Linked DNA regions of Stegostoma tigrinum. The protein of the gene in region 1 interacts with the protein of each later gene in a pairwise test. Links are inferred from orthologs where the notes say so. Each region holds a gene or a part of one and is shown in the gene's direction. Other genes may lie near its edges. The genes, in order: arl6ip1, acsf2, tufm and spg21.

Region 1 (7,158 bases):
GAAAATAATTTCTCAGCATTATACAGGTTAAATCACACGTGCTTGCCATTATCATTTTGATTGCGGCTTCCTTGCATCTCTTACTAAGTTAAATTAAATGTACTTTTTAAAAAGTTATATTTTGAGAGAATTACAATCTCTCCTCCACCTTGATTTAAAAAAAACTCCTTTTTCCAGTCCCCATCATGAAACTGTCCTCCAGCATGAAAGGCTGCAGTGGACGAGATCTTGCTTGAATTTCTTTGACATATTTTACTTAGCCAGCTGTCAGTAAACAGTAAGCAGTAGAAGCTAATGTTTACTGTTGAGGATTTTGTCCTCTCCCACTAAGGGATTCCCAAACCAAGTGCGGTCATGAATGTGCAAAACTGATGCATGCAGACAATAGATCAAAAACGTCAGTGAAACCTAACTCTGAATTTGAAAAGGAAGTTCGGTTTACTCATTTTGGAACAAATGAGCTGCTGAAACCTCTCTATAACACTTTGCCGTCCTGATAAATGTATAATTGATTGACCGAAAGTTGCACATTTAATTAGGCATCTGGAGCAATGACTAAACTTCAAAAGTACTTCATTGGCTGTAAATCGGTTTAGGATATCCTGAGGTCGTGTAAGGCATATGTAACTGCAAATTCTTTCGTGGAGAAAATTGAATGGGAAATGGTGCGTTTGATATCTGTACTTGAATATGAAATCCTGTTTGTATTATGCACATTGTTTATAAAAACTCAACTAATTGAAATGATAAAATATTGTACTGCTACGATTTACATCCAGGACCGTATTTCCAATAAATTTATTACATTCACAGTGATCCTGGCATCAGCACTATTTTCTGTTTATCCCTGCGCATTCAGAAAATCACTGGTAGGAAGAGAGAAGGTTAAAGTCCAGTTTTGTCCTTCTGAGGGACTGACGTTATTTGCATCAGGTTACAACTCAATATTCTCTTGCACACCACAGAAAAAAAAATTGTAAATTGCCGCTTGGAGTTGGATTATTTTTACTTGTGCTGTTTTACAAGAGTTTTGTTTCCTGTTTTCTGTTTGCGGCAACTTTTCAAAAAACCTGATAAAGGCAGAAACAAGTTTATTTCCTTCCTGAAATTCTGTTGTCTAAATGAAAAAAATAATAGAACACTATAAAATGTTCAAAACATTGAAACAAAAAAAGGATGCAGTTGATGAGATGCATCAGAGATAATGGGAACTGCAGATGCTGGAGAATCCGAGATAAAGTATGGAGCTGGATGAACACAGCAGGCCGAGCAGCAACTTAGGAGCACAAAAGCTGATATTTTGGGTCTAGACCCTTCAGGCCCAAAGTGTCAGTTTTTGAGCTCCTAAACTGTGTTCATCCAGCTCCACACTTTATCAACTGCATCTTAGATAACAGTGTCTTGTAAGAATATGGCTTGGAACATGTACGCATCCTGTTCTGCTAACTATATCTTGGATCTACATGTATAGGTGGAATTGAGTAATGGCTTGCATTTTTAAAGTCATAATATATTGCTGTAGTTAGCATTCTAACCTCAATTTGACATGACTAAACCCCAATATAAGCTTTCACATCTTAACTAGCAGACATTTCAATGCAGTTTTCAAGTTGCCATCCTTTGAAGTTGAGAAGTTTTATTTTCCGTCTGGTTCAGATATGCATTAAAGATAAGATTCCTACTTTATCCTGTGCAGGATCCTCAAACAGGTTAATTTGTTGCTCATCTCATTATTGTCGGCAGAATCTCCATCTAATTGTTGGCCACATTATTTTCTTTTGAGCACTTCAGAATAATTAATGTTTTGTGACATTTTAGATGTGATGGGGTGTAAATATGAATATTTTAAAATGGTTTGATACTAACAGAAGCTCTTGTACACTAATTCCTATTCTTTGGCTGTGAGGAATAGAAAAGACCATTACCATTAGTGTAGTCAGCTATCTTTTTAGTTGTAAAACAAGTTTGTTGTTTTTTATTCATTCACAGGATGAGGGCATTGCTGGCCAGGCAGCATTTATTGCCCATCCCTAGTTGCTCAGAGGGCAGTTCAGAGTCAACCACATTGCTATGGATCTGGAGTCACATGTAAGCCAGATTAGGTAAGGATGGCCGTTTCCTTCCCTAAAGGGCATTTGTGAAACAAATGGGTTTTTCCTGACAATTGACCATGGATTCATGGTCATCATTAGATTCTTAATTCCCGATAGAATTTGAATTCAAATTCATCATCTGAAATGGCAGGATTCAAACCAGAATGTTGTCTGGTCTCTGGATTAACAGTCCAGCCATAATACTACTAAGCCATTCTCCCACTGCTAAATAAATGTTAAATAATATAAACACCATGTTTAAGAAACAGGCAGTTGAGGTATTGATGCATGATGAATGTCTGTCTGTTTGAACACCTAATTCTGACTGATTTTAGTGAATACAGTTGAGTTTATTTCTAAGACAAATAAACTTGTCTAATTCACTCATGGGATGTGGATGTAGCTAACTGGCCAGCATTCAGTTGCTCTTGATATGGTTGTAAGTAAGCAATGTTTTTGAACCACTGCAGACCCTCAATGCCATTAGGGAGGGAATTCCAGGGTTTTGATCTGGTGATAGTGAAGGAGTGGTGATATATTTCCAGGTCAAGATGGTGGGTGGCTTGCAGGGTAACTTGCAATAGTGGTGTTCCCATGTATCTATTGCCTTTCTTTATAAATATCATGTGTTTGGAAGGTGTTGTTAAGGATCTTTGTAGAGACCAGGAGTTGAGTATTGCAAATTTATTCTAAATTAGCAGTTACTCTAATAATTGTTATCCCAAAAAATGTTTTAAGACTTCAGGGAGGAATGTTGTAGGTGTTCAAAATGTTACGCAGCTGGTTAGTTGACCAACTGTACAGGCATGAGAAAACACTGAGCGCAGCAGAGCGAGCAGCTTGACGTTTTGGGTTAAGACCCTGCTTCAGAAATGGGGGAGGGGAAGGGGATTCTGAAAAATAGGGGGAGGTAGATAGAAGATGGATAAAGGAGAAGATCGGGTGAGAGGAGACAGACAGGTCAAAGAGGCAGGGTGAGAGCAAGTGAAGGTGAATGTAGGTTTGGGGGGGGAGGGGGTGGAAATAGGGCTGTCCAGGGAGGATGGACAGGTCATGGGGGTGGAATGAGGGGATTGAGGTGGGAGGAAGGATAGGTTAGAAAGGCGAGGACTAGTTGGGCTGGTTTTGGGATGTGGTTGGGGAGGGGAGATTTTGAAGCTTGTGAAGTCTACATCAATACCCTCAGGCTGCAGGGTCCCCGAGTGGAATATGAGATGCTGTTTTTGTACAGTCACGAGGTTCATTTTGTAACCATTCTCTACGAAGGACGGATTAGAAAACTTCTAAGTGATTCTTGTGGAGTTTACAGAACAGGTCTAAATGAGCAGCCTTAGCTTGAGCAGCATTGGATATGGGAATCCTTGTGTGTAATTTTTTTTTGTAAGAACCGTGCCCTCTTACTATTCTAAAGTTTCATGATCTTCAATGCTCAAATTGTAGTGTTAGTTCACTCTGCTTCTAGAGGGAAGGAAAGAAAATCATGCAAACAACAGCGCTGCACGTGCTGTGGGCCTGTTGACCTATAATGGTGACTACCTGTGTACATGAACACGGTCGCCATCACTGTTGCTAAGAGAATATCTGTGGCTGGATTTCTTGCAGAGACTGTCCTGTACCCACTGCACTTCATGTGGGTTGACTCATACCTGATGGTTTGTATCTTAACCTTTTATAGGAAGCAGAGAGAGATAAGGTATAGATTGGTAGAAGCCTTCCAACTATTCAGATGTTTTGGAAAACTAAACCCCAGTTGCCTTGACTCCTATTCATATAAAATCAGGCCGCCTCTACCTAGCCTTAGGAGTGGGAAATTATTGTAGCCTCTTCAGGAATTTAGGTGCAGGGACTAGTTTGGGCTAGGGGAAGGGGGCGGGGTCTCCTCAGCGGTGGGCGGGCAAGGGGCGTGGCTCCTTGTCCTGTAGGCGGGGTTCGGTCGGCGGTGGGCGTTTCCTGTCCAGGGGACATTCGATCACCGTGAGCAGTGCCACGGCCGGCCAATCAGGCGTGTGGGTACGGCCGGAATTGGTCCAATCAGCAATGCCGCCTGCAGTATCACGTGTGGAGATGCACCATTAGGGTGGGAGCAACCGCGCATGCGCAATAAACGGGCGTCGAGAAGGATCGAGTGGCGATGGCGAGTGGGGACGGAGACAATAAAAGCACCAACCTCCTGGTGAGGGAACTCCACAGCACCACTGTCCCCGCGATGGGGTGGGGGAAACAACATAACTATACCCCGTTATGGGGGCGGGGTGGGGGGTGGCGCGGCCAGACTTCTCCAACACACGTACACCCAGTAGCGCGGGAGAGATGGGCTGGGCTGGGTATGGTGACCGGGGGCTGAGGAGGGGTGGGGTGTGTTGGGGGTATTTGGGATGGGGAGTGTTGGGGGTATTTGGGGTGAGGAGTGGTGGGGGAGGGAGTTGGGGGTATTTGGGGTGAGGAGTGGTGGGGGAGGGAGTTGGGGGTATTTGGGGTGAGGAGTGGTGGGGGAGGGAGTTGGGGGTATTTGGGGTGAGGAGTGGTGGGGGAGAGGGTTGGGGGTATTTGGGGTGAGGAGTGGTGGGGGAGAGGGTTGGGGGTATTTGGGGTGAGGAGTGGTGGGGGAGAGGGTTGGGGGTATTTGGGGTGAGGAGTGGTGGGGGAGAGGGTTGGGGGTATTTGGGGTGAGGAGTGGTGGGGGAGAGGGTTGGGGGTATTTGGGGTGAGGAGTGGTGGGGGAGGGGGTTGGGGGTATTTGGGGTGAGGAGGTTGGGGGTATTTGGGGTGGGGAGTGGTGGGGGAGGGGGTTGGGGGTATTTGGGGAGGGGGTTGGGGGTATTTGGGGTGGGGGAGGGGGATGGGGGTATTTGGGGTGGGGAGTGGTGGGGGAGGGGGTTGGGGGTATTTGGGGTGGGGAGTGGTGGGGGAGGGAGTTGGGGGTATTTGGGGTGAGGAGTGGTGTGGGAGAGGGTTGGGGGTATTTGGGGTGAGGAGTGGTGGGGGAGAGGGTTGGGGGTATTTGGGGTGAGGAGTGGTGGGGGAGAGGGTTGGGGGTATTTGGGGTGAGGAGTGGTGGGGGAGAGGGTTGGGGGTATTTGGGGTGAGGAGTGGTGGGGGAGAGGGTTGGGGGTATTTGGGGTGAGGAGTGGTGGGGGAGAGGGTTGGGGGTATTTGGGGTGAGGAGTGGTGGGGGAGAGGGTTGGGGGTATTTGGGGTGAGGAGTGGTGGGGGAGGGGGTTGGGGGTATTTGGGGTGAGGGGGTTGGGGGTATTTGGGGTGGGGAGTGGTGGGGGAGGGGGTTGGGGGTATTTGGGGTGGGGGAGGGGGTTGGGGGTATTTGGGAGGGGGATGGGAGTATTTGGGGTGGGGAGTGGTGGGGGAGGGGTATTTGGGGTGGGGAGTGGTGGGGGAGGGGGGGTGGGGGTATTTGGGGTGGGGAGTGGTGGGGGAGGGGGGTGGGGAGTGGTGGGGGAGGGGGGTGGGGAGTGGTGGGGGAGGGGGGTGGGGAGTGGTGGGGGAGGGGGGTTGGGGGTATTTGGGGTGGGGAGTGGTGGGGGAGGGGGGTGGGGAGGGGGTTGGGGGTATTTGGGGTGGGGAGTGGTGGGGGAGGGGGGTGGGGAGGGGGTTGGGGGTATTTGGGGTGGGGAGTGGTGGGGGAGGGGGGTGGGGAGGGGGTTGGGGGTATTTAGGGTGGGGAGTGGTGGGGGTTGGGGGTATTTGGGGTAGGGAGTGGTGGGGGAGGGGGTTGGGGGTATTTGGGGTAGGGAGGGGGTTGGGGGTATTTGGGGTGGGGAGGGGGTTGGGGAGGGGGTTGGGGGTATTTGGGGTGGGGAGTGGTGGGGGAGGGGGTTGGGGGTATTTGGGGTGGGGAGTGGTGGGGGGAGGGGGGTGGGGAGTGGTGGGGGAGGGGGGTGGGGAGTGGTGTGGGAGGGGGGGTGGGGAGTGGTGGGGGAGGGGGTTGGGGGTATTTGGGGTGGGGAGTGGTGGGGGAGGGGGTTGGGGGTATTTGGGGTGGGGAGTGGTGGGGGAGGGGGTTGGGGGTATTTGGGGTGGGGAGTGGTGGGGGAGGGGGTTGGGGGTATTTGGGGTGAGGAGTGGTGGGGGAGGGGGTTGGGGGTATTTGGGGTGGGGAGTGGTGGGGGAAGGGGTTGGGGGTATTCCAGGGGAGGGGTTTGTTAGTACTTGGGGTGTGGAGGGCGTGGGGTGGTGGTGGCCAGAGTTTCGGAATTGTATTTGGGACCATGCTTTGTGCAGGGGCCAGTAATGCGGCGATAATGGCTGTTTTCTTTCTGACTTAGAAGAATTGAAAATGCTGTCATTGTATCACATCATTCACAATGTCTTCATGTCACAAAACCTCTCATAGCTTGTTTGACGTGTCACCTCTTGTCTTAATAAAAAGTTACATTCATCTTGAGCAGGTTTTGTCACCCTGTCAACTCAATTGATTGGTTTATCCCTCTCTCTCTCTCGTTTTCGGTCTTGAGCCACAACCTGAGTCTAGGTCAACTCCTCTATCTAGTATGTAGTTTTCCACCTCTGCAATTTGACCTTTTCTGGCTTTCATTTAAGTTTTTGTGAGCTGAAGCCCTCATTCATGTTTGTGGTACATAAAACTCCCAGTGAAACTCACCAGTTCCATCCTGCAGAAATCTGCACTCATCCAAACCCTACAACCTGATTCCTGGCATGTACTAAATTCAACTCGCCCATTGCTCACTGGCGGTTCCTGACTGATAAAGCTTTCACTTCAAAATTTTCACCCTTCTGTTTAATTTCTACTGTGACTTCTCCCCACTCAGGAAACATGGCATCCACAACATTTCCTTTGCCCTTTGAGAATTCCCTTCCTAAATCTTTCCTGTTGTAGTATTTTCTGTAAAGCCTACCTCTGACCAAGATTTTGTCTTCTGTCTTAGTATTTCCTGCCCAATAAAATCCGTTGTCAGAGTGGCTATTTTATTGGTTTCTTGGTTTTGCAAAAACGTTTGCTTTTAACCATCACATTCCTCTGTTTTTGGGGGAACAGATTTGGAACTGGCAGTCGCTGACAGTGTTTGCTGGGAAGATTCTTTGACTGGTA
Region 2 (7,694 bases), on another chromosome or scaffold:
TAAACCTATATCAAGACAGCTTTTGAGCAGCAAAGGAGAAGTGAGAGAGAAATATGATTATTTAGACAAGAACCTGGAACTCCCTGTTATTCCTAAACTTGAAGTCAGTACCCAGCAAAAAACCAACTTGGGAAAACAACCGGTCACCTAGGAAGTCAAAGATCTACAAACTTTGTCACTACTGAAGAAGCAAGACAAGAACGAGTTAGCATTCAGGTCATTCTCACAACTCAAGGACTCTGAGCACTTTAAAGTGAAATTGCCATTACTTCCTGTCCATACCTCAACTTCCTTTTTAAACTTATTACCTGAGTATTTTAGGTGTTTGATGTTTCATTTTTAATATTTTATGGGGGTCAGTGGGTAATAAAATTCCTCTTTATCCCACTCAAGTAAACTTTGCAATTTATATCCAATTTATTCCTAGAGGGCCTATCTGGCCATCAAGCCTTGTTGTAAATACAGTTAAATACATGTTAGAGATCCACCATGGAGATGCTCATCATTCTGAAGCTGTTTTGTTCCCACCCTTGCCATAGATCGGTTCACTACTGAGCCAATGGGCAGCAACACAGAAAAGAAATGGCACCTGTCTGTGTGTTGCAGTAGGTTAGTGCATTTGGCTGTAACCAGAAGGTTGGTGGTTTGAAACCATCTAGAGACCAAGGACCTCCTTACTTTGGGATGTCATGGTGACTTAGTGGTTAACACAGCAGCCCCTCAGCACCAGGGACCACAGTTTGTGCCACTTTCAGGTGACTGTGGGGAGTTTGCACATTCTCCCCATGTCTTGCATGGGCTCCTTCTACAGTCCAAAGATGTACAGGCTAGGTGGATCAGCCATGAGAAATGCAGAGTGACAGGAATGGCGGTGGGGGGGGGGGGGGCGGTGTAGGCTTGGGTGGGATGCTCTTTGGAGGATTCAATGGGCCAAATGGCCTGTTTCCACACTGTAGGGATTCTATGTATAAATAACTTCTTTTTGGAAGAGCAGCAAATATCCTTATCTTCAATGAGCTTGAGGAGGACACTGGGAACAATGGTAAGCCTGCTGCTGTGTGGGGGAGACTGTAAAGGACAGCATACCCGGTAGGTGGGTGAGAAGAACAGGCTGTGATGTGATAACTGGTTCAGGGGATAAGACTCTGAGATGGTGATGGAAATGGAGGAGAAGGTTCTGAGATAGTGAAGGAGATGGGGTAGAAAGATTTAAGATGGTGAGGGAGATGGGGGAGAAGACTCTGAGATGCTAAGTGGTTTACGGAAGGAGGGTCCAGGATAGCAAACAGGTTGTGAGATGACAGCACTCTCCCTTTCATTGAAGCATTGATGCCCTGAAAGGCTGCAGTCAAGGTGGTGGAGCAGGCCTGTTGATCACTTGGCAGCATTTATATGGGAATGAAGGAGCGTGAGTAGGCGAGTTAATGTCAGAGTGGTTAAGTGAGTATGTATTGGAATTAGAAAAAGCTTGTATGGGGAATGGGAGTGTACGGATATGGGACAGTGTCGGTTTAGGACCAAGGGTGCACGTTTGTGTGCATGAGGATTGAATGCAGGCATGTGTGTTTTTGTGTGGGAGAAACAGAGTGGAGGGGTGAATGTGTGTGTTTCTGCGTGTATGTGGGGAGTGGGAGAGTTTCTATGAACCTTGAGACTGAGGAAGCCAAACACAAATTCACTTTTCTCCTCCTCTTCATTCCTCAAAACCAATCTGCAAAGCAGCATGGGTGTGCAGGAATACCCTGGCCGAAAGACAAGATGCTTCTAACACTTCTCCCCCACTCAACCCCCACTTCTATATGAATTGTACCAAGGCCAGCTCAGAGTGTGTGTTGCCAGACATGAAAGCAAGATCAGTGTTAGTTAAATCCGAGTCAACTTGGCCTCAATGCCTACCCACAGCTTTGGGTGATCAGGACTTGCAACCTAGTCCAGCTTTAGCTCTGTTTCTTAACCAAGGTGGTTAAAAAAAACTTGTATTTGCCGCTGACACATTTTAATGGCAATTTTATGAGTTACTAATTTACTTAAATGATTAATTTATTTCTTTGGAATTTTAAAAAATTCATACCCCTTATTGTGCCAAACCTTATGTTTATATTTGCTCACTGCACTTCCAATCACAGTCCCCATTAAAGAGAAAGAGAAGTTGAAATGTGCCACACCCCTAGTGCAAGGGATAGAGTATTCACTGTTGTCACATGTACTCCAGCAGAGGAGTACATGAGTACAGTGAAAAGTTTTAACAATGGCACCATCTTAGGTAGAAGTAGCTAGGTATAAATGTTGGATACAAAACAGGAATAAAAGGAAAAGTAATAGCATTACTTACAGTGTCTAAAAAAAAGTTAGAAGTAGAATAGTTACAACAAAGTTAAAGGATTGACATTACAGTCCGGTAAAGAATTTCAGATCAATGTTACATTGCAGCAGCTCAACAAGCACGTGGTCTGATCGCCCACGCCAGGCCCCTGACCAACAACAGTCCCACTCCACTCCAAGTCTCCAGCTGCTCCACCAGACACTCAGCTACACCAAGGTAAGTTGCGCTGCTCCTGGACTGGCTTTTCTTCTCGCAGATCTCCAGGACTCATTTTCCCTCGAGTTGTTCCAGGCCAAGCTTCCTCTCATGATGTTTTGAGACACACTTTCCCTTGTGCTGTTCTGGGGACTACTGCCCCAATCACTGCTCCAGGAGCGTTAAAAGGAGAGAAGAAAATAGTAACAAAAGAAAAAGAACAGGCGGAGTAGAGAGGGTCTGCATGGAGAGTGTTACTCTGTCACCATCTTCCCGGAAGGAGCTTAGATAACTCTGCTTTGCAAGGTGCTTTGTTCTGTATCAAAACAGTATTGTACCTGCTTCATTATTTAATGTGGAAGTGTGGAAGAAGTTTTACTGTACGTTGAATTTATACTGTACCTTCACCGGGAGCATTTGGTGGGGACAGTGGTATAAAAACTGAACATTACAAGACAATTATGTGTTTTAAAATGTCTTCTCCAAGCACTTTGGCTCAGAGAAATGCCATTGTGATCCAGTCACCATCAGGAGAAAAGCCCATTGACGTGGAATGGCTGTTTTAACACCTTTCACTAGAACAGCTACTATGAATTGGAAAGAAAAAGTATGGAGCCAGAAAGGTCGTTGCTGCTGTTCTGTCAGAAATATTGAGGAATAGGAACAAATAACAATGTGATAACAGTTTTGTCGGAGCTGGCTAAACAACTTTAAAGGGTCAAATCTGGGAATCTCTAGACCTTCTGGTCTGTGATGATCTGCTGGAGAGACATATCCAATGAAGTGTACCTGTTGGTGATAATTATAATCTGTGAGATCCCAGGCAGAATGGAATGATTGTTGAAGAACACTACAAACTCAGCCTAGTATGGCTCCTTTGAAGAGCTGGAGGTGACTTTGGGATAGTTCTTTTAATGATGCATATCTATCAGAAGCATGATGTTGAACAAAAGTGTTTGATAATATATATTCTGGTTGTCTTAGTTGGTAAATACAAAACATACAGTTTTCTTTAGTTTGGTGCATTAGTTATGTATAGGTTAGGGCTTGATCTATGTAGATTATATTTTGTTACAGTAAAAGTCTTAAAAGGTGAGATCTTGTCCTTTGTTATATTTCTATTATTTGTTTGGAAAATTCAATCCTTTAAAAAAGTTACAGGCCTCAATGGGGTTGTAAAATTGTACAGGAAGCATTATTTTGTACGCAACGCATGCTGTACCTGCCCTGGGAGTATTGGTGGGGACAGTATAGAAAGGAGTTTTACTCTGAATCTATGCCTAGCTGCATCTCCCCTCAGAGCATTCACAGGGACAGTGTTCTCAGCAATTTATTCTGCAACTCACTTGCACTGTGTTTGATGGGGAAAATGTATTAACAGTTGAATTACTGTTAGTTCATTGATTCCAGCTAAATTATCTGGATAGATATGGTTATTAAGTGACAGCATCAACACAGATTAGAAATTCAGATTTATGGTTGGGAACAGCTTTTAAAATTAGGAAGGTAATTTTGAATCTGATTTATCCCTCTTATTGTCTTTATGTGCGCCCTGCCTGCATGGTTATCTCCTTGGAAACAAAACAACAAAAGCATCCAGATGCTGCATGGTTGCCTCCTTGGAAACAAAATAACAAAAACATCCAGATGCTGGAAATCTGAAACAAAAACAGAAAGTGCAGGAGAAACTCTGCTTTCTCTGAACAGATGCTCGAAAACCTGCTGAGTTAACGTTTCTCATCCAGTGATCCTTCATGCTTGGACAATCCCGTGTTTGTATTAAATGTTCGAGCCCTGGTAATTTCTGAAAACAAAATAGATCAAATGCCTGGATCTTCACCTTTTCACATTATGTCAAATACAGATTTGCAGGGAAATTCTATCCTTAAATCACACCCCATTGTATACACCATCCACCACATCCCCAGTCTTTTCAAAGTGTTTTGCTTTTTGAAACTCTGGTATTCCACAATGAGACTAACTGGACAGTTATTTCAAAGACAAAAAGAAACAAAAATCGCTGATGAAACTCAGCAGGCTGTTGACTGGAGGGTTCGTTTGTGATGCAGAGTAAAATCCCCGCACAGACTAGGGTCAGTTGGGTTGACGTTGGTTTGTGATGCAGAGTAACGCCTGCAGCGTGGGTTCAACCCAAACAACGTCGCCTGATGTTGAGGAAGTGAGATATTTCACAACAGCTGGCAGAAACACGATGGGCTGAACAGTTCAGTTTCTTTCTTTAATGCTGTATGATTGCAGATGTCGGGTGCTGTGGTGTGATTTCAGTGGGGAATTTCTGATACTATAAACGGCTGTAGTGGGCAGAGTCACTTCTGGCCTGGCGCTGCATTCCGGTCTGATTACCCGAGTTTGCCTGTTTACTCCCGCACACCTCCTCTAAAGAGATTGAACCCTACCCCTGACCATAGGGTCAAAGAACAAGCTGCCCTCAGTGTTCAGCAAAGTTGCAGTGTCTCGTTTGCCCCCAATGATGTGTTTAAACGCTGGGCTTTCTTTCTGCTGCATTGGCGAATTCTTTCTGGGACCTCTGGAACAGACTTTGACAGCGGATACCACACACTGAATGGTCGGCAGAACCGTCCATCTTTCATTTTGAGCAACTGTTGCGCTGACATTGGACGGGAAGGAACTTCTAATCTGGTTTTAGTGTGGGTTGCGGAAGTGTAAAAGTTCAGTTAGAAGTGTGTTAAGAGGGAGCCCTCGGAGTTATCGCCGTTTTCTACACTGTATTTGTAATAATGGGCTTCGCGTTCGGGCTGAGGAGTTGTGCCGGCCCCTGGAACCGGAGCTGGCGGCTCTTCCCGGAAGATTTCTGGAAAGGCTACAGTAGCAGTGGGACAAAAACACTTGCCCCATACAGGTAAAGGCTGCCGCTGGCTGTAACTAAGCTTCGGGGATCAGAGTGTCTTCGGTCATTTAACAGAATGTCTTCGGTTGTGGAAATGAGAGAAATGACTCATTCACTTCGTTTGTGTCTCCCCCAAGCATTCTGTTCTAGGATCTCTTCTGTGACTGGGAGGTTTTTGTTGTCAAACACTCATCGCCGGGTCTTGTGGTTATTTCGGCACAGATGGCTGTGCATATTAGCATCTGTCAGCGTATTTTAAATAGTCTCATTCTCTCGTGTGAGAGGTAGAATATTGGCTGCCAGTCTGTGAATTGATAGGAGTATTTTGTTTTGACAACATTCGAAGACATTCAACGTTAACTCCGTTTTTCCATGGAGAGATGCTGTCAGACCTGCTGAGTTTCTTCAGCATTTTCTATTTTTATTTCAGTTTTCCAGCATCTGTAGTATTTTGCTTTTATAATAAGGGTGGTGTCTCATTAAAGTAAAAGCTAGGATGTTGAGGTGCCGGTGTTGGACTGGGACTGACAAAGTCAGAAGTCACACAAAGCCAGGCTATAGTCCAACATAAGAGAACACGGAGTGAAGCTGGATGAACACAGCAGGCCAAGCAGCATCAGAGGAGCAGGAAAGTTTGACGTTTCGGGTCGAGACGGAAACATTTTTTTGAAGAAGGGTCTCAATCCGAAACGTCAAACTTTCCTGCTCCTCTGATGCTGCTTGGCCTGCAGTGTTCATCCAGCTCTACACTGTGTTATCTCAGATTCTCCAGCATCGGCAGTTCCTATATCTCGATAGTCCAACGTTTATTTGAAATCACAGGATTTCAAAGCGCTGCTCCTTAGTCAGGTGAATGGAGTGAAGTGCGCAGGCACATAATTTATATACAGTGACCGCTCAAGGATAGACTTCCTGTTTGTGTCACGGGCCTTCTCGGTCAGGTCCACTGGCGTCGAGCCGGTGTTCTTCTCTGACCACTGCCTCCTGTTGGCCGACTGTCACTTACAGGACGACCAGCCGGCCGGCAAGGGGACGTGGAAGCTCAACACGACTCTGTTGACCCCAGAGAACATCGAGGAGCTTGAGAAGGAGTACGTTGGTTGGAGAACTGTGAAACCCCTCTTTGAGTCTCCGGGCGACGGGAGACGGTGAAGGAGAACATCAAGAGGTTCTTTGTCCTCAAGGGTGTTCGGAAGGCGAGAGAGAGGTGGAGAAAGCTGTCGCGACTCCAGAAAAGGGTGCAGAACCTGCTCCTTCTGCAGATGATGGGGCTCGATGTCACGGAGGACCTCCGCGAGGTGAGGGGCCAGCAAGCCTCGCTCTTCGCCGCGGAGGCCTCCAGGATAATCTTCCGGTCCAGGGTCCACTCCGTGGAGCAGGACAAGATGTGCTCGCGTTTCTTCTTTCAGAAGGTGCACAAAGAGAGCTCTGTGCTTAGCCGGCTGAAGGAGGATGATGGCTCGGTGACGTCGTCTCGGCCCGACATTTTGAGGATCTGCAGATCCTTCTATGCCGGACTGTACGACACGAAGCCCACAGACAGCACGGCCTCCAAGCCGTTCCTGCCGTCTATTTCGGAGGTCTTAGACAACGGCACGAGGGAGTGGCTGGACCGGCCGATATCCCTGGATGAGCTACCAGAGCCCTCAAGTCCTTGGAGAGGAATAAGACTCCCGGGAGCGACGGCTTACTGGTCGAGCTGTATTCCACTCTGTGGGACCTGGTCGGCCAGAACCTGCTGGAGGTGTACGATAGTGCGCTTCGGGCAGGGGAAATGTGCAAGTCCACGAGGAAGGGCATCATCACCCTCATTTACAAGAGGAAGGGGGAGAGGGAAGAAATTAAGAATTGGCGTCCCATTTCACTATTGAACGTGGACTACAAAATCCTGGCCAAGGTCATAGCCAACCGGGTCAGGTCTGTCCTGGAGTCGGTGAATCACCCCGACCAAACCTGTGCTGTGCCGGGCAGGAAGATCGCTGAGAGCCTCGCGCTCATCAGGGATACGATCGCCTACGTGCAGGACAGGCGGGTGGACACCTGGCTTGTCAGCCTGGACCAGGAGAAGGCCTTCGACAGGGTCTCTCATGCTTACATGAGGGATGTCCTCTCCAAATTGGGGTTCGGGGAGGGCATCCGCAATTGGATCCGGCTGCTCTACACAAACATCGTTAGCGCAGTCTCGATCATTGGGTAGGAATTGGACAGTTTTCCCATCAGATCTGGATTCAGGCAGGGCTGCCCGCTCTCTCCTGCCTTGTTCGTGTGCTGTGTGGAGCCCTTCGCCCCATCCATCAGGAAGGACGT
Region 3 (7,253 bases), on another chromosome or scaffold:
GAGAGACAGTGAGAGATTAACAGTGTGAGAGGGTCAGTGAGAGGGGAAATGTGAGACAGTGAGAGATTAACAGAATGAGAGAGACAGTGAGAGGGAGAATGTGAGACAATGAGAGATTAACAGAGTGAGAGAGACAGTGAGAGGGAGAATGTGAGACAGTGAGAGATTACCAGAGTGAGAGAGACAGTGAGAGGGAGAATGTGAGACAGTGAGAGATTAACAGAATGAGAGAGACAGTGAGAGGGAGAATGTGAGACAGTGAGAGATTACCAGAGTGAGAGAGACAGTGAGAGGGAGAATGTGAGACAGTGAGAGATTAACAGAGCGCGAGGGACAGTGAGAGATTAACAGTGTGAGAGAGACAGTGAGAGGGAGAATGTGAGACAGTGAGAGATTAACAGAATGAGAGAGACAGTGAGAGATTAACAGTGTGAGAGGGACAGTGAGAGGGAGAATGTGAGACAGTGAGAGATTAACAGAGTGAGAGAGACAGTGAGAGATTAACAGTGTGAGAGGGACAGTGAGAGGGAGAATGTGAGACAGTGAGAGATTAACAGAATGAGAGAGACAGTGAGAGGGAGAATGTGAGACAGTGAGAGATTAACAGAGCGCGAGGGACAGTGCGAGGGTGAATGTGAGACAGTGAGAGATTAACAGAGTGAGAGAGACAGTGAGAGATTAACAGAGTGAGAGGGACAGTGAGAATGAGACTGTGAGATAGTGACAGTGAGAGGGAGAATGTGAGACAGTGATAGAGTATGCTAAGTACTGAGTCACTAGTGACACCATGTGTGAGTAACCACATATTGCCCTGATATTCCAGGAAAGCTGTGTTTAATCATGTCAGCACTTCAGGGTCAGAGCTGATCGATTCACATTTCCACAGCTGCTCATTCAGTAATTCAATGAGATCCAGGAAAGATCCCGAGGATTATGCAGTTATACCACTCAGATATTTCACCCGAAAATAATTAAACTGCCAGACGGTCAGCGCTGAGGGAGCGGGCACTGTTGGAGGGTCAGTGCCAAGGGAGCGGGCACTGTCGGAGGGTCAGCGCTGAGGGAGCGGGCACTGTCGGAGGGTCAGCGCTGAGGGAGCGGGCACTGTCAGAGGGTCAGTGCTGAGGGAGCGGGCACTGTCGGAGGGTCAGTGCTGAGGGAGCGGGCACTGTCAGAGGGTCAGTGCTGAGGGAGCAGGCACTGTCGGAGGGTCAGTGCTGAGGGAGCGGGCACTGTCGGAGGGTCAGTGCTGAGGGAGTGGGCACTGTCGGAGGGTCAGTGCTGAGGGAGCGGGCACTGTCGGAGGGTCAGTGGTGAGGGAGCGGGCACTATCGGAGGGTCAGTGCTGAGGGAGCGGGCACTGTCGGAGGGTCAGTGCTGAGGGAGCGGACACTGTCGGAGGGTCAGTGCTGAGGGAGCGGGCACTGTCGGAGGGTCAGTGCTGAGGGAGCGGGCACTGTCGGAGGGTCAGTGGTGAGGGAGCGGACACTGTCAGAGGGTCAGTGCTGAGGGAGCGGGTGCTGTCAGAGGGTCAGTGCTGAGGGAGCGGGCACTGTCGGAGGGTCAGTGCTGAGGGAGCATCATGATGTTAAGGCACCACTGTGGAATAACAATGTGTGCGGAGCCGTGTCCTTGCCTGATGTGGGACGCCACTCAGTGTGCTAAGTCCTTCCTTGGGCTCTCTCCCTTGTTGCAGTGTCCATTCGGTGGCATCGGATCATTGCAAATGCATCTCGTTCGAGTAATTTGTCGCACATGGTGGCAGCGTTGTCTTCATCAAAAAGTCTCCGAAAGAAAACAGGTGATGAGTGAAAATGTTCCCTGAAAGCTGCCACCCAGGTGGACAGAGTTGTTCCGAAGGCGTCTGGTGCGTTTGCTTTCATTAATAGACGGATTGAGTTCCAGAGCCATGAAGTTACGCTCCAGCTATACAGAACCCTGGTTTGGCCACGTCTGGAGTATCGTGTCCCGTTCTGCTCGCCTCATTACACGGAAGGATGAGGAAGCGTTGGGAAAGGCGCAGAGGAGATTTCCCAGGACGTTGCCTGGGATGGAGGGAAGGTCTCACGAGGAAAGGGTGAGATAGCTCGGGCTTTTCTCTGTAGGACGACAAAGGATGCGAGGCGACTTGATAGAGGTGTACAAAGTGAGCAAAGGTATAGAGTGGGTGGCCAGAGACTTTTTCCTGGGGCGGGGGTAGCTGCGACGAGGGGGGCACAGTTTGAAAGTGAGTTGGGGGGTAGATACAGGGGAGACATCAGTCTTTACTCAGAGGGGGTCGGGGTGTGGAATGCATTGCCGGAGAGGGTAGTGGAGTCGGCCTCATTAGGGGCATTTAAGCGGCTATTAGATAGGCATATGGATGGTAGCATAAGGTAGGGGCGGAGGTTAGATAGACCTTAGGTTTAGGGTCAAAGTTCGGCTCAACCAACGATCTGACGGAGGGCAGACGTTACCCTTGGGTGGGTGGGGGAGTTGCGTTTCTGGGAATTGAAAGAGGGGCAGGAAACGATTGGGAGTGGGCGGGGAGGGGGTGGTGGTGGTGGCGGTGAGGGGCAACACGGTCCATTTCGGACTGAAACGCGGGACGGAAGGATCGTTTGGGCTCTCTTGAGGGCGCCCGGCGAGATCCCGGGGGAAGGCGGAGTGAGGCGAAGAGGCGGGCACGCGAAACGCCGTCCACGCCCAGCCCGTCACACAACGGCTGCTCTATCGCCCACCCCCGTCTTCTTCCTCGACGATTCCTTGAACTGGGGTCCCCGGGTGGGGCGGTGGTGAGGCTTTGGGGAAAGATGGCTGCCCAGAGACAGGGGCGTATATCCTCGCAAAGGGGGTCAAAGGTTGGGGGAGGGTGAAGAATGGGGCTGAGACCCAACGGCCAAGCAGCACACCCCCACCAACGCCGGCGGGCAGAATGGACTCATTCTGCCCCGTTGGCATCTGACTTGGGCGTGGGTGGCGTCACTGTACCATTGGGCGGCACTCATCGGCTGCAGTTGACGGTCCGGGGCACGGGTGCTGAGGTGGGTGTTGACGGTGGCGTAACGGACTTGGGGGCATCCAGGTTGGGGAGGGGGGGGGGGGCTGAGGGTCTGGGCGGAGTTGGGTGCGTTGGGGAGAGAGCGGTGCAAGGCAGGCAGTGCCAAAGGACAACGGTGCACCTTGGTCACAGAATCGCCAAACCTAACCGTTCCCCGCCAACCCTCCCTCATGGAAACCGGTGGAAATGGGAAGGTGGCTGTTTGGTTGGGGGGCGGGGGGGGGGGCGGTCAAGACGCCATGCCGAAATCCCAACCCCCTTTCTCCCCCATCTTCTCCGGCCACTGCCCACACTCTAAAGTTGGCCTCAGGACCTTGGTGAGGGCAGAGGGCATAGGTGGTCCAGGAGGATGAAAGGGGGCGGGGCAAGGTCGGCGGTTGGGGCCGGGGGCGGGGCCCTGGTGACGGTTGGAGTGCGAGGCGGGCCCCCTTGCCAGCGCGCGCGCGGTTGGCGGAGCCCTTGTCGCCATGGAAACCACCCGGGGCACGTGGCCCGTTGGAAGCCTGGAGCGCCACGGAAGCTGCGGAAAGGGGCGGGGCCAGTTCCACTCCCCCCGCAACAACACACAATCCGAGGCCGAGCCCCCGCAAAGGAAGAGATCGGAGGTTGGGGGGGGGGAAGAAACGTCATTGCGGGGCACGTCGGGAGGGAGCGCAGTCGTTGTTGGGCGGGAATGGGCGACGCCATTGGAGGGGCAAGGCGACACCGGGTGAAGCGGTGGTGAACGTCATTGCGGGGCACGTCGTGCGATGAGGTCCAGCGAGGTTGGCTGAGAAGGCTGACGTCACTGCGGGGCGACGTCAGCGGACGGGACAATCGCTGGCTTAAGGGCCGGACAGAGCGACGTCTTGAGGTCACTTCCAGGACTGCCGGAGACGACCAGAACATCAAGATGGCGGCGCTGAGAGTGGGTGCATCAGGTGGGCTGTCAGATCGATAATAGGATGGAGACGGAGACGACGCTCAGACCGACGTTGTACTTTAGATGTGTATTACGGACTAGGCAGAGAACGCAAGCTGGAGAGGGCCGCCTCCGGAGCGGCACTAGAGAGGGGCGTTAGGAGCTAGAGAGCGCGATGGGGGTGAGGGCGGGGCGACGTCGTTGCGGGGCACGTCGGCGGTGGACGGGGCGACGTCCCTGCGGGGCAGGAATGGGGCCAATGGACGGCGCGCTGCCTGGCGTGCGCGGTGACGTTGCGTTGTTGGGTCGGCGGGACGGGGTGAGGTCACTTCCGGAAGCGTGAGCGCAATCACCCAAGATGGCGGCGCTCAGAGTGAGCAGTGGAGGTTGACTCTCAGACATACATTATATCATGGCGGGGGAGGGGGGGGGAGATGGTGTGCGTCTCAATCGATGTTATATTCTAGAGAATAAGTACAGGGATGTGGCGGTTAGGGTGGGATTAGCCAATGGGAAATTGTCCCGTAGTGCCCAGGGATGTGGGGGTTAGGGTGGGATTGGCCGATGGGAAATTGTCCCGTAGTGCCCAGGGATGTGCGGGTTAGGGTGGGATTGGCCGATGGGAAATTGTCCCGTAGTGCCCAGGGATGTGCGGGTTAGGGTGGGATTGGCCGATGGGAAATTGTCCCGTAGTGCCCAGGGATGTGCGGGTTAGGGTGGGGTTGGCCGATGGGAAATTGTCCCGAAGTGCCCAGGGATGTGCGGGTTAGGGTGGGATTGGCCGATGGGAAATTGTCCCGTAGTGCCCAGGGATGTGCGGGTTAGGGTGGGATTGGCCGATGGGAAATTGTCCCGTAGTGCCCAGGGATGTGCGGGTTAGGGTGGGGTTGGCCGATGGGAAATTGTCCCGTAGTGCCCAGGGATGTGGGGGTTAAGGTGGCATTGGCCGATGGGAAATTGTCCCGTAGTGCCCAGGGATGTGGGGGTTAGGGTGGGATTGGCCGATGGGAAATTGTCCCGTAGTGCCCCAGGATGTGCGGGTTAGGGTGGGATTGGCCGATGGGAAATTGTCCCGTAGTGCCCAGGGATGTGCGGGTTAGGGTGGGATTGGCCGATGGGAAATTGTCCCGTAGTGTCCAGGGATGTGCGGGTTAGGGTGGGATTGGCCGTGGGAAATTGTCCCGTAGTGCCCAGGGATGTGCGGGTTAGGGTGGGATTGGCCGATGGGAAATTGTCCCGTAGTGCCCAGGGATGTGCGGGTTAGGGTGGGATTGGCCGATGGGAAATTGTCCCGTAGTGCCCAGGGATGTGCGGGTTAGGGTGGGATTGGCCGATGGGAAATTGTCCCGTAGTGCCCAGGGATGTGCGGGTTAGGGTGGGATTGGCCGATGGGAAATTGTCCCGTAGTGCCCAGGGATGTGCGGGTTCGGGTGGGATTGGCCGATGGGAAATTGTCCCGTAGTGCCCAGGGATGTGCGGGTTAGGGTGGGATTGGCCGATGGGAAATTGTCCCGTAGTGCCCAGGGATGTGCGGGTTAGGGTGGGATTGGCCGATGGGAAATTGTCCCGTAGTGCCCAGGGATGTGCGGGTTAGGGTGGGATTGGCCGATGGGAAATTGTCCCGTAGTGCCCAGGGATGTGCGGGTTAGGGTGGGATTGGCCGATGGGAAATTGTCCCGTAGTGCCTAGGGATGTGGGGGTTAGGGTGGGATTGGCCGATGGGAAATTGTCCCGTAGTGCCCAGGGATGTGCGGGTTAGGGTGGGATTGGCCGATGGGAAATTGTCCCGTAGTGCCCAGGGATGTGCGGGTTAGGGTGGGGTTGGCCGATGGGAAATTGTCCCGTAGTGCCCAGGGATGTGCGGGTTAGGGTGGGATTGGCCGATGGGGAATTGTCCCGTAGTGCCCAGGGATGTGGGGGTTAGGGTGGGACTGGCCGATGGGAAATTGTCCCGTAGTGCCCAGGGATGTGGGGGTTAGGGTGGGATTGGCCGATGGGAAATTGTCCCGTAGTGCCCAGGGATGTGCGGGTTAGGGTGGGACTGGCCGATGGGAAATTGTCCCGTAGTGCCCAGGGATGTGGGGGTTAGGGTGGGATTGGCCGATGGGAAATTGTCCCGTAGTACCCAGGGATGTGCGGGTTAGGGTGGGATTGGCCGTGGGAATTGCGGGGTAACGGGGATAGTAATGACTACGTCTTAGTGCAGTGCTCTTTGGAGGGTCGATGCTGACATGATGGGCTGAACGGCCTGTCTCTGCGCTATTGGGATTCAACACTTCTTTGAACCTACCCAAGGTGAGGGTAGAGTGAGAACGGGACACAGGATCGTGCAGTTACAGATCGCACAAGAGCGTGGGAAGAAAGATGGTTGGGTCAAGTCTTTGAGGAGGACAATCAGAGTGGAAGGCAGCTCCGCAAGAGGTCGGGAGAGGGGCCGAGATGGAGGAATGCAGAGGGGGAAATTACAGGCAGATTAGAAGTCAGTAAAATTAGCAGGAATATGCTGAAAACGATGGGAAATATTCTAGCACCTGTCAGGCAGGGATTGGCGGTGGGGGTTGGCTTTGCTTCAGGGATGTAGGTGGTGAAGTTTGAGCATAGGGAGTGACTGTTGGCGAGGGAGGACGCTGGGGTCTGAGCTGCACCCATCACCATGTTAACCTTTCTCCGTGTTTTCCAGTTCCAAAGAGCTGTATCCGGAGTTTGCTGACCGTTCGAGCGGTGAGTGCTCAATCTGACAGGATACCAGAGCTGTGTATCTAACCCCGTGCTGTCCCAGTCCTTGGGAATGTTTTTGTGGTGGGGGACAGTATAGAGGGAGCTTTACTCTGTATCTAACCCTGTTCTCTCCCAGACCCTGGAAGTGTTTGATGGGGTGGGGAGGGTGGCACAGTGTAGAGAGAGCTTTACGCTGTATCTAATCCCTTGCTGTTCCAGTCCTTGGGAGTGTTTGGGGGGTGGGTGTGAACAGTGTAGAGGGAGCTATACTCGGTATATTCGGGCCTTCTGCCTGTCTGCGTGCAGGCCCTGAGGATTTGCTCTCTGTCTCTGTTGGTTGACAGACCCGGCTCCCCCAGTGCGTCCTGGTGGCCCCTGCCCTATCTCGGAATCTCGCCACTGAGGCCAAGAAGACCTACCAGAGAGAGAAGCCTCACATGAATGTCGGCACCATCGGCCACGTGGACCATGGGAAAACCACACTGACTGCAGCCATCACCAAAGGTAGCGCAGGGGGAGGAGGGAGCGAAAGGGAGAGTGTCGAGGGGGAACTGAGGGAGAGGGGCGTGTGTCGGGGTGAGCCGACACACCGAG
Region 4 (7,159 bases), on another chromosome or scaffold:
TCAGCCTTGTCCCAAAGAGAACAGTTACAACATCTTCAAATCTACCTAACAATTGAAGACTTTTCATACCTGGAACCATTCCATTCCCTTTTGCGAACTTATCTCATTGTCCTTACTACTATCTGTTCAAATCACATTTTCTTTGAGAAGCAAAAAATTAAATCCAACACTTTATCTTATTGATATCCTTTTAATTTGAAATCATCATAATCCTATCAGCAAATGCCATCTTAAACTAAATATTCAAAACAATGGGTCTACTATTGCCTGGAGTTGATTGTGATGATTTGATTTAAAAACTAGGAGGTCATGAGGTCAAAGTCTCATGTTTATTTCATCCTTTTATTTGAGGGGGAAGGGAGAAATGGGGGAAGCAGAAGCAGTTTGGACTTATGCTAGGCACAGTTAACTAATATTGACTATAACAGGGAAGCTCTCATCTTATCTGAATTTCATTTTTAGTGTTCTTATAGTTTATTAGAGGTCAGGATTGCTGTATTTCCACACATTTCTGAACAGTGTCCAGGGTCTAGGCCCGAAACGTCAGCTTTTGTGCTCCTGAAGGATGAAGGGTCTAGGCCCGAAACATCAGCTTTTGTGCTCCTGAGATGCTGCTTGGCCTGCTGTGTTCATCCAGCTTCACACTTTGTTATCAAAGTGAAATTCCTGTCTAGTTCATATGATGTGTTCTATCAGCCCAGATTCATCAAACTGCCCCCCATGACACCATGTTCTGAATTCCAGAATCAATTTAGTTTTCCTCCGCTCAGTATTTCTTTTAGTGATAAGGCATTGGATTGGTTTCTTAGTAACAAATGGTAGCAGGCTAAAATAAATTGATTTATCTTACATTTTACCGATTGTGGTACTGTTTTGAATTAAAACTAAATACATCAATTTAGTTTTTAGCAGGTGAGTAGATTTTCAGAACTAAAGAGACTTACCCTGGGATTCTGGTATTATTCCTCTGTTAAATATGTTCTAATTTACTTAGTCATCTTTTCTCAGTTAATTTTTTTAAAGTCTCTAAACTAAAGTCCTTGTGACTTTACTCACAAAACCAAACAAGTCATTGTCTATAATAGGAGTGTGGTTATAATCAGTAATATATGTTAAATAGGCACCCGGGTTCGATTCCAGACTTGGAGTTTGCGCGTTCTCCCTGTGCCTGTGTGGATTCTCTCCAGGCACTCTGGGTTCCTCCCACAGTCCAGAGGTGTGCAGGTCAGGTAGATTGGCCATTCTAAATTGCCCCACTGTGTCCAGGGATTTGCAGGCTAGGTGGGTTAGCCATGGGAAATGCAGGGTTACAGGGAGGAGTGTGAATCTAGGTGGGATGTTCTTTGGAGGGTCAGTGTGGACCTGATGGGCTGAATGGCCTGCTTTCATGCTCTAGGTATGCTATGATGATTCTATGATATATATCTGGTATTCAATAATCCCTCTCACATTTTCGTCTGCATAATTTATGAATACCGCAAACGAGAAGGGACACAGCACTGATCCCTGTGGTACACCACTGCACACTAGGCACCACTTACACTTCAGCAAAACTCTCTATCTCCTATTACTAAGCTAATTTTTACTAAACCGAAGCACCCGGAGGAAACCCGCGCAGACATGGGGAGAATGTGCAAACTCTGCACAGACAGTTGCCCAAGGCTGGAATTGAACACGGATCCCTGGCGCTGTGAGGCTGCAGTGCTAACTACTGAGCCACCGGGCCGTGGATAGATAACTGGCTAGGCAACAGGATGCAGAGAGTTGTAGTGGAAGGGAGTTTCTCAAAATGGAGAACTGTGACCAGTGGTGTTCCACGGGGATCCGTGTTGGGACCACTGTTGTTTGTGGTATACATAAATGATCTGGAGGAAGGTACAGATGGTCTGATTAGCAAGTTTGCAGATGACACCAAGATTGGTGGAGTAGCAGATAGTGAAGGGGACTGTCGGAGAATGCAGCATAATATAGATAGATTGGAGAGTTGGGCGGAGAAATGGCAGATGGAATTCAATCCAGGCAAAAGCGAGGTGATGCATTTTGGAAAATACAATTCAAGAGAAAATTATTTATAAATGAAGAGCCCTGGGGAAAATTGATGCACAGAGTGAGTGTTCAGGTCCATTATACCCTGAAGGTGGCACGGCAGGTCAATAGAGTGGTCAAGAAGGCATACGGCATGCTTCCATTCATCGGACGGGGTATTGAGTACAAGATTTAGCAGGTTATGTTACAGTTGTACAGGACTTTGGTTCAACCACATTTGGAATACTGCATACAGTTCTGGTCGCCACATAACCAAAATGCTTTGGAGAGGGTGCAGAGGAGGTTCACCAGGATGTTGCCTGGTATGGAGGGCGCTAGCTATGAAGAGAGGTTGAGTAGATCAGGATTATTTAATTAGAAAGACGGAGGTTGAGGGGGGACTTGATTGAGGTCTACAAAATCATGAGAAGTATAGACAGGATGGGTGGCAAGAAGTTTTTTCCCACAGTGGGAGACTCAATTACTAGGGGTCACGATTTCAAGGTGAGAGGCAAAAAGTTTATTGAGATATGCGTGGAAAGTTCTTTACGCAGAAGGTGGTGGGTGCCTAGAATGTGTTGCCTGTGGAGGTGGTAGAGGCAGGCACGATAGTGTCATTTAAGATGTATCTCGACAGATCCATGAATGGGCAGGGAGCAGAGGGATACAGATTCTTGGAAAATAGACGACAGGATCTGAATCAGCGCAGGCTTGGAGGGCTGAAGGGCCTGTTCCTGTGCTGTAATTTTCTTTGTTCTTTGACAGACACCTCAGTACCTCACTCTACCGCAAGCCCAACAGATAACTTCACAATGCCGTACATGTCTGGCTTCCACCTTAAACATGTTAAGGAAGCTATCCCCTCGGGACAAGCCCTGCATATACACAAGATCTGCTCAGACAAGGAGGAATGCAATGGACACCTAAAGATTTTGAAGGACAGCCTCATAAGAATGAGATACAACTCTCAACTCATCGATTGCCAGTTTCAAAATGCCACAATGAGAAACCATTAGACACAACCAACAGAGTACCCTTCATCATGCAGTACTTCGCCAAAGTGGAGAAAGTACGCCATGGTTCTAGCAGCCTTCAACATGTCAGTGATGATGACAAACATCTTGCCAAGATCATCCATATGCCTCCACTTCTCACCTTCAAACAATTGCCAAAAATTAAACACACCATCGTTCACAGCAAACTACCCAGCTTTCAGGGCGACATCGACCACAACACCACACAGCTCTGCCATGACATGTGCTCTGCAAGACATGCCAGATCATCGACATGGACACTACCATCAAACGTGGGAACACCACCCACTACGTACACAGCAAATATTCATGTGACTCAGCCAACGCTGTCTACCTCATACGTTATAGGCAAGGATGTCCTAATGCATGTTGAGGAGACCATGCAGACGCTACAACAATGGATGAATGGACACTGCGCAACAATTGCCAGACAGGAATATTCCCTCCCAGTCGGCGAACACTTCAGTGGTCAAGGACAGCCTCTAATCTTGGGAAACATGGTTAGCTACCCACGTACAGGAGGAACTAGAGCAAACCATATATTAAGCTCTCTTGCCGACTTACCCCCATGATTTAAACCTTTATTTAATCAATTACTTTAGGAGTCTTCTTCCCTTGAGAAATTTAAAACAGAATATCGCCCTTACAAGCTGTAAAACACAAAATAAAAACTTTCTAAGGGCTCTTGTGATTCAGTGGTAGTGTCCATACTTTTGAGCCAGGAAGTCCCACCTCTAAAAAAAATGTGTAATACCATGTCTGAACATGTTGAATCGAAAAAAGATTTTTTTGAACTGAGTAGCTGCGCAGTCAAGCAGCTTCCACTTGCCCCACCCACCGTGCACAAAACCCCGCCCACCACGTCAAGGAGCACACCCACTTTTTTGCCCCGCCCCGCCCCGCCCCGCCCCGCCCAGCCCACGAACAACGAACACCCCGCCTTATCGCTCGCCCCGCCCACTGGGCACAGTGAGCCTGCTCCAGTTACGTCACCCCGCACACTGCGCAAAGGACACACCCCTTTATCGCCCCACCTTCGCCGCAAAAGACGCATTTACGCCTTGAACACCCCGCCCACCGATTGGAAGCTCCTCCCATGTTTGTGACCCGGATGCGTAGCGGGCTCATCACGGGACAATGATTTCCGGTTGCAGTTGAGTTTAAAGGTAAAGGGGGGGGCGCGGTTGGAACTGTATTTGTGGTAAGAGTTATTTGTGTTTGTTGAGTGGTGGGTGTAATAAGATGTGCCCGTGTTTGTGGAGAAGCGGAAATAGGGAGGGCTGCGGGGTGAGCTATTGTTCATGGAGTAGGTTACTTTTGTTTGTCAAGCACTTGGGGTGTCCTGGGCAGTGTTTGTGGGGAAAGTGTCAATCTAGAAGAATGTAGTGTGCGGGAACTGCTACCACCTGTGACTCAAAACCCCGTTTATAAACAGAATTGAGATGTGATTTTTTTTTGTTTTACGAGAAGCTAGGGAAGGGTAGATAAGTGGTTCTGTTTTGCTTGAACTGTCATTAGTTAAGAGGGATAACCTAAGCTGTAGAAACCGTTTTGGGTAAAAATGAGAAATGATGATGTCAAAGTCACCTTTGCATCTGGTTTGTAAACCTCTTAAGAAAATATTGCACTAAGGTGGAAAATTCTACAGGACCTTCACAGAAATTCATTTGTAATAATCATCGGAATTTAGAAAAGCCTGGTGCTCAAGGATAATGTAGATAAAGCGTTTCACGAACTTTTCGGACACTTCCTTGGTACGGCGTATTCGGAATCAACAAAGTTGAAATCTGGCATTCGTCATACAAAATGATTGACTAATGCTTTTATAATGATGGTATTGCTGGAGAACTGCACATGCAATATGACTAAACTTGTTCATTTAGTTTGAGTTGTGATATGAATGGATCTCTTGAGTCAACAGCATTGCCGTGGTTCTGGAGTCCTTTCCTAAAAGAAAATTTTTAGTCGACGTTTTGAGCCGAGACCCTCCTTCAGAACTGGGAAGGGAGTTAGGAATAGAGGGAGGAGGGATGGGGCTGGGGGAAGGTAGGTGGGATGGTTATAGGTGGCTGTAGGTAGGGCTGGTGGGGATTGGTCAGTGGAAAGGGTAGGGCAGATAGGTGGGGAAGAAGATGGACAAGTTATGTCAGGTCAAGGAGGCAGGGATGAGCAGGAGGTTTAGATGTGTGTTGGGGAGATTTTAAACTGGCTAATTCTGTGTTAAGGTCATTGAGCTGTAGGCTCCCAAAGTGACAATACCTGGCTGCTAACCACTTTAATTCCACCTTCCAGTCCCACTCCTATGATGACATGTCTTTCCTGGGCTGCCACCAGTGACACAATGACACTACACACTTGCTTGAGGAGCAAGTGGCCACACCCCCCCGACTTATTTCCCAGCTCCCTACTCCCTACTCCCTTCTCCACTTCTCTTCTCCCCCCCCCCCCCTCCTCCACGTCACCCCATGCCCCCCCCAAGTTCTGAAGAAGGGCCTGAACCTGAAACATCAACTTTCCTGCTCCTCTGCTGCCTGACCTGCTGTGTTCCTCCAGCTCCATACTATGTTGTCTCTGACTCCAGCATCTGCAGTTCTTGCTATCTCCAAATGCAATATGTCAGTACTCATTTGAAGAAAGTTAGGAATAGAAGAGCAGATCTATATCCTCAGCAGTACCAATCACTGGTCAGGCCTCATTTGGAACACTGACCAGTTTTGGGCTCTGTGTCGAAGGATGGATGCGTATGGCAAAGATGGAAATTTGCAAGAATTTTGCTGGGGATGGAGAGCTTGTCATGTAAGGAGTGGGTGGGGTCTCTGGACCTGAACTTGGAGTTTTGAGGAATGAGGGGTGATCTGATTTTAAAACCTAGGGAATATGAAGAGGCCTGGATACAGTGGACACGGTGAACATGTTTCCACTTCTCAGTGAGACTAGGAGCTGAGCGCATAGCCTCAGAGTGAAGGGATGACTGAGATGAGGAGGAATTTATTTAGTCAAAGGATCATGAATCTGTGAAATTCATTGCTGTAGGATGCTATGGTGGCCAAGTCATTGAGTGTGTTTAAGGTGGAGCTGGATAGGTTTCTCGATTGATAAGGGAATGAGAGATCATTGGGAAAAGGCAGAAGAACAGGGTTGAGAAACACTTCAGCTATGATTAAATGGCAGAGTTGCCTCGATGGGCCAAATGGACCAATTATACCCTATACCTTATCTTTATGATTAGTCACTATGGCGATTTCTCCATTCTTCAGTATTTATTTTGAAACTGCAATATATATCCTCAAGAAAATAAAAATCTACTGGATAAACAGGTCTGCAGCATCTGTGGAGAGAAAATAACAAAGTTAATGTTTCTGGTCCAGTGATCCTCCTTCAGAATGCTGAATATAGGTCTTCAATTGTGTGTTTTCATTCATACTTTAAGCTTATATCTCAAGGATTTATTGTTGATATAGTACTCAAAGGATATGACTGCCAAGTTTCTTTCTTGGAATTTCTTCCAATATTTTCTTGAGGTAAAATGCCATATTGATCTCAGCAAGTGTGAGAATATCTGCCACTTTAGTATCCTTCTGGCTTCCCAAACTAAAAGGCAACATTTTACTTTTTCACAAGAAAGCCCAACAGAGATTTCAGTAAGTATCACAAATGGCAGTTTTCATGTTTCTAGTATCTCCTAATGATGTAAGCTTCATAACACAACCCTTCATCTTTAATTTCAATCAGTCATGCCATAGAGTCATCTATCATGGAACAGACCCTTTGGCCCAACTCATCCACACTGACCGGATTTCCGAAACTGATATAGTCCCATATCTGTCGACCTCCCCTATTCAAATGTCTTTTAAAAGTTATTGTACTCTCCTCTACCACTTCTTCTGGCAGCTCGTTCAGTACACACGTTGTTTGAATATTCTGTTCACCTGAATGACACCTTACACCTTGGGATTAGTCATCGTTGTACTCAATGCTAATATTTTAAATCTGGCATCTGGCCTTGTTTGGGTGCCAGACAATTCAGCTTTTCGGTTGGATTTTGCTATTCTTCCATTTCAGTCTTTTAAGTGCCCGTGTTTTTGTTTGAGAGACCCTAC

Evidence for each region.
Region 2: the proteins of arl6ip1 (region 1) and acsf2 interact in binary tests that used the Homo sapiens proteins (3 or more experiments, as listed by UniProt). The two-hybrid records come from large-scale screens. The link is inferred for Stegostoma tigrinum from reciprocal best matches to the Homo sapiens genes ARL6IP1 and ACSF2.
Region 3: the proteins of arl6ip1 (region 1) and tufm interact in binary tests that used the Homo sapiens proteins (3 or more experiments, as listed by UniProt). The two-hybrid records come from large-scale screens. The link is inferred for Stegostoma tigrinum from reciprocal best matches to the Homo sapiens genes ARL6IP1 and TUFM.
Region 4: the proteins of arl6ip1 (region 1) and spg21 interact in binary tests that used the Homo sapiens proteins (3 or more experiments, as listed by UniProt). The two-hybrid records come from large-scale screens. The link is inferred for Stegostoma tigrinum from reciprocal best matches to the Homo sapiens genes ARL6IP1 and SPG21.

Annotation. Positions count from the first base shown.
Region 1 is NC_081376.1:54,010,877-54,018,034, reverse strand, and holds the start of arl6ip1 (ADP-ribosylation factor-like protein 6-interacting protein 1), read left to right. Parts: upstream 1-4,156; 5' UTR 4,157-4,224; coding exon 4,225-4,266; intron 4,267-7,158. UniProt on the Homo sapiens protein: Positively regulates SLC1A1/EAAC1-mediated glutamate transport by increasing its affinity for glutamate in a PKC activity-dependent manner.
Region 2 is NC_081375.1:36,164,424-36,172,117, reverse strand, and holds the start of acsf2 (medium-chain acyl-CoA ligase ACSF2, mitochondrial), read left to right. Parts: upstream 1-4,686; 5' UTR 4,687-5,277; coding exon 5,278-5,399; intron 5,400-7,694. UniProt on the Homo sapiens protein: Acyl-CoA synthases catalyze the initial reaction in fatty acid metabolism, by forming a thioester with CoA. Has some preference toward medium-chain substrates. Plays a role in adipocyte differentiation.
Region 3 is NC_081403.1:634,094-641,346, forward strand, and holds the start of tufm (elongation factor Tu, mitochondrial), read left to right. Parts: upstream 1-4,251; 5' UTR 4,252-4,299; coding exon 4,300-4,327; intron 4,328-6,621; coding exon 6,622-6,662; intron 6,663-7,003; coding exon 7,004-7,163; intron 7,164-7,253. UniProt on the Homo sapiens protein: GTP hydrolase that promotes the GTP-dependent binding of aminoacyl-tRNA to the A-site of ribosomes during protein biosynthesis. Also plays a role in the regulation of autophagy and innate immunity.
Region 4 is NC_081386.1:721,253-728,411, reverse strand, and holds the start of spg21 (maspardin), read left to right. Parts: upstream 1-4,144; 5' UTR 4,145-4,225; exon of another isoform or gene 4,226-4,260; intron 4,261-7,159. UniProt on the Homo sapiens protein: May play a role as a negative regulatory factor in CD4-dependent T-cell activation.